2 linked regions of the Saccharomyces cerevisiae S288C genome follow. The protein of the gene in region 1 purifies or fractionates together with the protein of each later gene. This does not show direct contact. Each region holds a gene or a part of one and is shown on either strand. Other genes may lie near its edges.

Evidence for each region. Proteins that work in one complex are often made in the same cells at the same time.
Region 2: the proteins of CRP1 (region 1) and OM14 purify together in Saccharomyces cerevisiae (affinity purification with mass spectrometry, with the first as the bait; one large-scale study listed by BioGRID). This does not show direct contact.

What each region holds. Positions count from the first base shown.
Region 1 is NC_001140.6:385,363-392,197, forward strand, and holds CRP1 (Crp1p), read left to right. Parts: upstream 1-4,937; coding exon 4,938-6,335; downstream 6,336-6,835. Other genes in the region: DSE2 (Dse2p), read left to right, coding at 148-1,125; DNA-directed RNA polymerase core subunit RPC10, read left to right, coding at 1,871-2,083; DCD1 (deoxycytidine monophosphate deaminase), read right to left, coding at 2,426-3,364.
Region 2 is NC_001134.8:679,049-683,040, forward strand, and holds OM14 (Om14p), read right to left. Parts: upstream 1,003-3,992; coding exon 992-1,002; intron 895-991; coding exon 501-894; downstream 1-500. Other genes in the region: glucan 1,3-alpha-glucosidase ROT2, read right to left, coding at 1-173; COQ21 (Coq21p), read left to right, coding at 1,314-1,514; SWC5 (Swc5p), read right to left, coding at 3,131-3,992.

The sequences.
Region 1 (6,835 bases):
GGGTTTTAAGCTAACTCTAGTCATTCCTTACTACATTTTATTGTAACTCTTCAGTAGAGCTAACCACAGTCATTCCTTAATATTTTTTAACACAGATCTCTTTCACAGAGTAGAAATAAAGCCACTCCTTTAACAAATTACAAAGAAATGAAATTTAATTTTTCTACAATTTTCAATATCTTATTCTTTTTATTCACCTTAATTGAAGCCAACAGCAATGGGGAAACAGTCAAACTTATTACTTCTGATGGTATTGTTTACAGTTATGCTGTCTACACAAAGACTCTTGCGCCGGCAAGGGTTGTGGTTAAAACGATTTCATATACTACTACAAGGGTATATCCGATTACTTTAGCTAATTCCGTCGTTTCTTCCACTACTGAAAAGATAACAGAGGTTTCAACGGTGTCAGCTTCAGAACAAGTTAGTGCTACTCAAACAAACTCATTGGTTTCTACTTCTACTGTTTCCACTATCAGTCCAACGATTTCATCTGGTTCTTCAACATCCTCTAGCTCTACATACGATATCGAATCATCTCAAAGTATCGAATCGTCAGGTACATCTTCCGCTACAGCCGAACCATCTGCGTCTTCAGGTTTTCGTTTGACTTCTAGTTCTGCTTTTGTTTCATCTACTGCACCTTTCTCTTCCCAACTTTCTTCATCTTCATCTTCTGAAACATCATCCTCATCATTTTCAACATCATCATCATCTGCCCCTCTTTCCTTAACTTCTTCTTCTTCTTCTTCTTCTTCTTTCGCCACTATTATTACCTTGGCACCATCGAGCTCAAAAAGCGGAAACTCTCAACTAACTTTGGCGTCATCGTCTTCCACTTCCGCAGTTGAGTCATCCCAAACAGGGTCCACTATAGCAAGAACTACCTCTACACTGGTACCCTCTTCTAGCGTAGATACAACGTCTAGAGCAACGACATCCATGCCATTAGAATCGTCTTCTACGCAATCGATATCCGTCTCCAGCTCGGATGGCACTTGTTACGTTTTTTATGATGATGATGACTACTATAGTACTGTCTACTTAACTAACCCGTCTCAATCCGTTGATGCCGCCACCACTATAACTAGTACAAACACAATTTATGCTACGGTTACCATTTAGCGCTTAGGCATAATGGTGGTGCATTCTTTTCTATTTGTTTTCTCAGGCGTATTTTTTCCATTATTTTTTGTTAAAAATAGTAAAAAGACAGTATTATTTATTCATTTTTCCTCGTGTTGTTATAACGACTAAGTTTCCTAATTTCTTTATTTTGTTTTTTTCTCATGATCTTTTCATTTTGTAGTTTCAACTATTATATACAATGTGTATACTATAACTTAATTTTATTAGTTACCTCTTACTAAGGATACTGATTCTTCCCCACTCATTTCATGAATTCATCACAAGTCTTTAGTATTTTTCATATGGAAATTACATCACCTATATATATCAAAATGTTCCGGCGAGTACATTGTCAGAATCTACAGTTTTTCCTGATATGAGCAGTGATATGGAGAAAGAGACACTAAATAAGAACAAAATATTGCCGTAGATTTAATGATTCAATCATGTGTGTCAAATTTGTTCTCCATTGCATCTTCCTATTTGACATTTGTCTCATGACCACGACATTGTACATTACCAGGTAAGGCTACAATTAGCCTCACCGATGTAACGTTATATAACGCTGCGGTCGTAGAATATGATTTTTCTGAATTTTAATTTTTTTTTTTTTTTTTTTCATTTCTTTAACATCTAAAATAGATTTTAGAATCAGAAAAGTGAAGAGTATTCCACATCATCGACTTATTCTACCAACATTTAATAAGAACGTACCCAAGAATAAAAGTCCACAAGTATAACAATGTCTCGCGAAGGGTTCCAGATTCCAACAAATTTAGACGCCGCAGCTGCAGGTACTTCTCAAGCTAGAACGGCAACTTTGAAGTATATTTGTGCTGAATGTTCTAGTAAATTATCTTTATCCAGAACTGATGCAGTCCGTTGTAAGGACTGTGGTCATAGAATCCTGTTGAAGGCTAGGACTAAGAGATTGGTTCAATTTGAAGCTAGATGAATGGAGAGACTGAAAACCATAATGGGTTACCGGGGCAGAATAATACGAAATAAAGAACCTAGGTTTTCCAAGGTTTTTGCAATATATAAACTTGTGCTTGATTTAAGTTTATGCAGCACTTTTCTTCCAGCAAATTCTTTATGTTTTTTTAAGGGAAAACGTATATCACTTAGAGATTATATTAATGAAAAAAGGTGTATACAAATGTATAATAATAATAGTATATAAGAAAAGTATTCGCTATTTATAGTGATTTTAGTTTGTACAATGTACTGTATTTTTTTTAAATGTAGTATTTTATATATATGTTACATTAGTTCGAACTGAAAAGGAACTTATGAATTAAATCATCACAATTCTTGGTTCTTCCGTAAAGCTGAATTGCCGGACGGTTATTCCCGCATTCTTCAAGACCTTGAAACTTTCCTCGTCCATTCTATAACTTTGGCTATAAACTACTTCACTGATGCCTGTTTGAACAATCTTTACAGAACATGTTAAGCAAGGGCAAGTATCACAGTATAAGGTCGCATTTTGACCTACACGATCCCTGCCAGCTTCCAGTAGTGCATTCTCTTCTGCATGTAAGCATAAGCAAGTGTGCAGATTTCTAGAATCACCGTCATTGCAACGTGGGCAACCGCCATTGAAACAATTTGTTAAATGTCGAGGAGTCCCATTATAGCCAGTAGCAATCACTCTGCATTCTCTCACAATCACGCAACCAACTCTACGTTTCATGCAATTGGAACGAGATGCTGCTAGTGTGGCTAACTTCATAAAATAGCTATCCCAACTAGGCCTCATTAATGGAGCCATTTGTTTCTCTTTGTCATCGAGAATCTTTAATTGTGTGGTAATGTTATTAATCAAGCTCTGTCTCCTTCCTCTGCGGTCCTCATTAACTATTTTAAATCTCAAATGGGATTTCTCCCTTAATTTGATGCCTTCAGGCTGAAAGTCATGTTGATCAATGGCTTGTATTATTTGTTCTAATGATAAGCTTTCTGCTTGAGTCGTTTTCCTGTATAATGCTACCCTTGTAGTGACAGGAGCGTCGATAGAAAGATGAACAAAAAATGGTCTCTTTTCCAGTTTCTCCAGTAATGATAATTTTTCTAGGAATATAACTGAATTTTTTGTGTAATTTTTCGTAGCATAATCTAATATCTCCTCTGGATTATCTAGGTGATTGAGTAATTCAAAATGAAAATGATCAACCAACATGTTAATAACATCTTCGCATCCGCAAAATTTCGTACCACTTACACCAATTAACATAATCGTGTTATATTGATTAGTGTAGCATTCACACCTTTAATGTGCCAAAAAAAGATGTTGAATTCTATGGTAATGCAGAAGTTTCAATTCTCGAGATTGCCTACATCATCTCATAACTGCGTACCGCGCGTTCTTGCAAAGAACAAAAAAGTGAAAAAATTATAATGGGGCGAGCTGGGAATTGAACCCAGGGCCTCTCGCATGCTTTGTCTTCCTGTTTAGGCAGGAAGTCGCCCAAAGCGAGAATCATACCACTAGACCACACGCCCATGTATCTGTTGGTGTTCTAAATAAAGAATTAAACTATGTAGGCATAAAAAGAGACGGGAGCATCTTAAAGATGCAACTGGATGGAGAATGGCAAAATATGAAGAAGAAGGAAGGAAAAGAAATATTATTATGCGTAACTGTTGATTCCTTTTTGTGGATTTCTTGAGGAGAATGTCTTTTTGAAGAGTGGGTGAATTTTGAGATAATTGTTGGGATTCCATTTTTAATAAGGCAATAATATTAGGTATGTAGAATGTACTAGAAGTTCTCCTCGAGGATTTAGGAATCCATAAAAGGGAATCTGCAATTCTACACAATTCTATAAATATTATTATCATCATTTTATATGTTAATATTCATTGATCCTATTACATTATCAATCCTTGCGTTTCAGCTTCCACTAATTTAGATGACTATTTCTCATCATTTGCGTCATCTTCTAACACCGTATATGATAATATACTAGTAACGTAAATACTAGTTAGTAGATGATAGTTGATTTTTATTCCAACACTTTTATATATTCTGTATTTGATGTTATAGCTTTATCAATTACAGAATGCCAAAAATTATCAAATTATTCACCAATATCCCAAATTTTAATGCAACCGTTATGATCCGACTATTGATAAAGGAAATTCCTATTCTACATAATGTTACTGGTATTTCTTCTTCCGTTTTTTATGTCGTCATTCGTCATCCTATTGCATTATCAATCTTTGCGTTTCAGCTTCCATTAAATTATGAAGATTATTTTTCAATCTTAAAGTCATCTTCTTACACTGGATATAATAATATACTAGCAGTATGAATATTAGTCGATAGACGATAGTTGGTTCTATTTCGACGGGTAATATTCTACTAATACCAATGACACTATTAATTTACCTAACAGAAATTCTTCTTCAATTGACCCTAGCGTTTGCCTTATTATCAAGACACTGAAGGTAAAGTTGCCGATAAACTTTTTGGGTTCCACTGTGCACCTATTTCTATGCTTCAATAAGCAGTTCCAGGTAAGGTTTCACCATTTCAACCCAAGTAAATGCTATGTAGTTATAATATTAATTAATGTGTTCTACTGGTTTTTCTGTGCATAAAAAAGACGCTCTGACGCCATTTATCTTGGTGTGTTACCCGTTAGGAAAAGTGGCGTTGCTAAAATTGTTGAAACCCGATCTCATCGCCTGGTAAACAATACAAACAAGGATTTGAACAAGGTTTTATCATTTTCTGATACGTTTTTTGTACTTACAAAATAAAAGATACAAAAATCACTAAGAAAACTAATCTATCAATAAAAATGAGTAGTGAACTCATGTTCAACTATACTTTTAGCTGGCCTGCTGGTCCAAAAGATGTTATTTTAACAGGAACGTTTGATGACTGGAGGGGCACTTTACCCCTCGTGAAGACCGCCAAGGGAAATTTCGAAATTACTATGCCCGTGAAGCTAGCCAACAAGGATGATACGTTTCAGTTTAAGTTTATTGTGGATGGCGTTTGGTGCGTTAGTGATTCGTATAAAAAGGAGCATGTTAGTGAAGGAATCGAAAACAATTTCTTACAAATTACCGATTTAGTTGAAACGCAGGAAGTTGCCGGTGCCAGTAGAATCCCGGAGGCAGGTGGCCTATTATGTGGTAAACCGCCTCGTTCAGCAGGTCCTCCTTCTACAAGTAATAGAAAGAAAAACAAGCGTAACAATAAGAAAAGAAGATCTAAATTGAAGAAAAAGAGTACTAAGAACAACAAGAAGTCAAATGAAAGTTTAGACGATAATGAAGAAGAAGACGGGGTGACTGGAACTACTACTGAAGATGTTACTGGAACCTCTAGGGAAGAAACTCCATTGGCGGAGCCTACTAATGTTTCCAAAGAAGCTCCGGGCAATTTCCATATTCTGCCAATCGATCAAAGTGCAGACACAACTCAATCAAATGGTATAATTGGTGGACCAGGTCCTGTTCTTGTCCCAAACCCTGGTGAAATCAAGGAATTTACCGAAATTAGAGACGTTGATGCTAGGGAATTGAATGAAAGACTTAACAAAAAAGAAGAGGTTCCAGAACCCGTTGCTGGCCCTATTGTTGAATCATCAGTTACGGAAAAGAGTCCTGCTCTTCCACAAGCTGACGACCCGATTGTTGAGACCAAGGAAGTGGCTCATAATGTGCAGGAACTTACTCCTCAAGTGGAAGCGGTTACTCCGTTAATAAATGAGCCCGAACCATTACCAACTCCGGAAGCACAAATATCTATACCTGAGTCATCGAAAGTTGAACCAGTGGAGGGGTCTCTTCAATCTAAGTTGGTGGAGAAACGTGAGTCCACTGAAGGTGTATTAGACGGTTCCAAAAAAGTAGAAAATAAGGCAAAAAAAGATGAAGAGGTCTTTACATTAGACCCCATCGTTAACAAAGCTCCCAAGCTACCCTTGACTGACGAGCAAACAGCTGAAGGTAGAAAATCACCAGCAGTGTCAGAAGAAAAAGAAAAGAAAAAGAAGCAAGAAAAAGGCTCTAAAGAGGTCAAGAGGTCAGAAACCAGTAAAGAAAAAAAGCCTTCTGCCAAAGAGGTTAAGAAACAAACTGTAAAAGCCCCAAAGAAACAGACAGCTTCTCCTTTGTCTTCTTCGACAGAAGAGCCCAAGAAGAAGAAAACTGGTTTCTTCGGCAAATTGAAGAAGCTATTTAAGTGAATTATCTAAGGATTGGTCTCATGTTGCCGAATCATAGAAATATAAGAAAAAAATTAAAAAAAAAAAGAAAGAAAGTATAATACTAATATTGGCAATAATGCTAACACATTACTAATAATAGCAATAATATTAATAATAATAATAATAATAATAAATTATAATAATAGCAGTAATAAAAATATCAAATAATAATAATAGTAATAGTAGTAGTAGTAGTAGCAGTTGTAGTAATGATAATAATAATATAATAATAATATAATAATAGTATAATAATAGTATAAGTAGTTGTAGGTAAAAATCTTTGATTTATCTTATCTGGTTGCAATGCTTCTCCCCTCTGATGCCTAATATGTCTATCTTTATCCTATACCAATTGGCAGGGGAGCAATCATAATTTACATTAATATCGTCCACCATACCCTGAAATTCCAAAAGAGTTCGAGAAATTGGAAGGTACAGCATTTCATTTACTCACTTATTTGATCTTTTCTTTTGTTTTC
Region 2 (3,992 bases), on another chromosome or scaffold:
TCGGCGTCCACTTTGTAATAGCAGTGATGAGATTTGGCAATATTTTCTGCATAAACCCTGTTTCTATGGCAAAACCCAGATTGCGCACACTTCTTTAATAGATAGTCGGTAAACGCATGCGAAAAAGCGGTAAAGAAGACCAATTGGCATACGAGCCATTTCAAAAGGACCATGTTGCATACGGTTGATTCGAGACCGCTATTTTAAGATACGCAGAGCAATCAAATAACTCCAAGCAACATGTTCATTGAGTTATAGCTCTCAAGTGCCGTAGTGAGAAAATGTCGTGGTCCGGGTAAAACAAATTAAGGGTACTTGAAATGAAAAAAGAATGATAGTAGACAGAAAAGCTATTATATTATAGAAACTTATCACTTGACCGATGAAGAGGAAAGCACGTTTCCTTACAAATAAATCAGCAGTAATAGTTATAAAAATATATGTATATAAAGTGTGTGAGTGTGTGAGTGTGTGAAAGGATGTTATTAAATAGTATGTTATTATTTCTTGTCGTATCTGGAGTAGTATTTCTTTGAAATTATACCGTCCAGCGTCAAAAGACCCAGAGCGCCGGCGGTTGTTGCTAAGACTGTAGAGTTAGGTTTCCCCTTCAAGAATCTGGCGTTGTGGTTCGCATACCCGTTACATAAATAACATACCACTGAAGAATGCAGCAACAAGTTGACCAAGACAACGGGATTCTGAAGTTCTAAAAAGCATACTTTGGCAAAGTCTTGCGTCTTACTGACAAAAGCTTGGAGGTAGCCGCAAGCGACTGCTGATGCACTATTTAACCGTGCCTTCAGATATTCGATAGCGCATTCCTTCTTATTGTTGTGGTGGTGACCGTCTTCAGAGTCAGAATTTGGGCTAGCGTTACTGTCGTGTTTAGCACTGGGGAAAAGAAAGATGGTCATAGATGATATACGTTAGTCAAAAGAGAACCGGGAGAAAAGATTAGGCGATACGTTTCAGATATTAGTGTACATACGTTGCAGACATATTATGAGATGCTGGAGGTAGATGTTATGTTTCTAATTGTTGGAATAGGGTTACGTCGGCGGTTTCGGTTGAAGTGGGCACATTGATCGACACTTTATATACGCAGGGACGATTAACGGGAGAGGAGGTAGCGGCGGCGTCATTGGCCGCTGGCCCGGGGTAGTAGGGCAGGGAAAGGGGACGGTGAAAAAATAAAACGTAAGTGGGACAGCAGAGATTTGAGGAGTTGAGGCAAGAACAGAGGAGAGAACGAGAAAGCGGATAAGCAACAAAGGAAAAGGAAACAAGTAAAAAAAAAAAAAGAGACTAGCATGAGAAACGAATTATACCAGTTATGGTGTGTGGCGAGTGCAGCAAGAGGGGTAGCCAAGAGCTCATTCGTAAGGGCCAATTCGGCCATGTGTGAGTACGTGCGCACGTCCAACGTCTTGAGTCGCTGGACTCGGGACAGGCAATGGGAAGCAGCTAAGGCCCTATCACAACGGGTCAAGAAAGAGTATGCCGCCAATTAGTGCACACACATACATATATTTTATATACTTACATATTTGGTTGCGTGGTATATAGAATCTCTCCTTTCGCTTCATGAATGAACTCATTCATGCGAAGTCAAAGGAAAAAAAAAATAAAAAAATAAAAGAGCGAACGGGAAGACGAGAGAAACATCAAGCGACCAAAGTAAAAGTCAAGAACGACTCCACAAGTGCGAGGGTCGCGACGTCTCTAACTTTAAAAACAGGCGTCAACCATCAAGTCCGTTTCTTGATGCCGCCGGCATTCTTCAAATCCCTCCAAAAAAAACGCCTCTATGACATAGGCGGTTAATAAAACTGGCCTTGAAACAACAGATGCAGTCATGGCTCTTCTCTTTTCCCAGCAAACGCCTTCCATTGCCTCCTTTTTTTCTCTTCCAGAACTCTCTCAGCAGTATTCTCACAAACACATCTCCTCCCCTTTAGCAAACCTCCATTTATATCCTGCGAGAAGAGCTCCTTCTCCTCAATGAGAAAATAAGCACAAAATAAACTGGGAAAAAAAATATAGTAAAAGACGCCAGCACGTTAACAATGGAACACTCTTATTGTAGACCAACCCCACCCTACACCCCCTCAAACCGAGGACACTTCAAAAGGAAAATCAACAACTTTGGCCGATACTTGGGGGATAAGCAAGCTTATCCTATTACATCAAAAAAAGAATCGTAAGACACCTTTCCTTGCAAACCAAAAATCATAACAAAGTCGAAAAACTTCCTCTTGCAGCGCCACCAGAAAAAGAAGACGAGCGAAGAAATCAACAATAAGAGCGCCCCATCCGCACTAGCACCCCATACCATAAATATTATCTCCCAACCTACTATAGCACCATTTCTTCCCATCGATAAAGAAAAACCAAATCCCGCGTTGGACATAAACGGCTCGGAAAGACAGGGAAGAGTATGAAGCAAAAAGCCAAACTAAGGGAGAAACAGAAAGCTAAAAAAAAGAAAATAGAAAACAACCAGAAGAAAACAAAAACAATAACCTTGAGCAACCGTCGTCTCAAAAACCAATTTCGAAAAACCATCATAAAAACGCCTTATGAAGAAACCATGAGCGAAGAAAAATAGCAGCAAAAAGTAGTGAGACCTGACATTAGCGGAAAACAACTTGCTTAAAAAGTCTCTTCCCGTCCATTTTATTATTTTGGGTGCCAAAAAATGTGTATTGTAACAAATTAAAAGGTAATGAGCCTCATTGAGGTCATTTCAGTTGTTACACTGAAAAGAACAGATACTACACTTGATCTAAGCCAAAAGGCAAAGAGATTCGTGGGGATTTAAAAAAAAAACAAGTAGAAACAAAATGAATAAATCTGATAACAAGTAAAGTACTCATCGATGAAAAAATGAATGTAGAGCCCTTTTTATATGTTTTCACCGAGTGGCCCATCGGAAACGGCAAAAAAAAAAAAAGAAAGAAAAAAGAAAAGAAACATAGAGCGTTGCTAGGTTTTTTTTGCCACCCACACCCATACACCCCATTACTTTGTCTGCAGCATCGTTATACACGTAGTGAAAGTGTGCAGGCCTCGGCGGTTAAAAAAATTTGAGCAGAAAAGCATGTTATTTAATACATGTAATATTTGTCTATGAAGCTTCGCTATCCTGCTGCAACTGCTGAGCAAGTTGTTGCCGGCGCAATTCTTTGTATCTCTCGTCCTCTGCAGACCCGACCCGCTGCAGAAATTCTTGCCGGGCCAAGAACCCATCCTTGTTGTGCAGCACCAATTCGTCGTTAAGTCCAGCACGGTCTACATAACTAGCCCAGTCCAGCTGAGATTTTTCTAATGTCGTTAGCTTGGGTCGTAGCCCGCCAGAAATGATCTGCTCCAACAATGGAGGCCTTTTCAGTGGCCGTCGCAAGTGTTGCCGGCTTTCATTGGACTTGGTCCTAACTGCTTTTTCCAGTTGAACAGGAGCAGCAGGCGCCTGCTGCTTAAATTTCAAACTGTTTAGATATTCTTGACCCTCCGCACTGCTGCGTGAAACCCATTTTTTCTCATGGACAGTTTCACCAGCAAACTTGTAGTTTCTTTCGATGAGGATTTTGTCCTCCTGTTGCGCGGCCGTTGTCGACCTAGCCTCCTTGGAACCGTCGAGAACAGAGCCGACTTTCCCTGAACTGCTCAAAAGACGGTTCTTACTAGCTTCCTGTAGCTCCTCCCAGATGCTGTTTACTTTTGCAGGGATCGATTCAACAGTTAACGATTCATACTTATGTGTTTTCGCATATTCTTCCTCAGCTTGCCGAGCTCTTCTAGTCTTGATCAGTCCGCCGCTCTCGCTCTCTATACGCGAATAGTCCACTTTATTTCTACCCTTATCTCTGTTCACACCGTCATCATAGTCGTCACCGCCATCGCTGGCATCACTATCGTCGCTACCACCACCTAATTTATCTTTTTCAGGCTGGAAGTCCTCGTCCTCCTCTTCTATGTAGCCGTCCTCG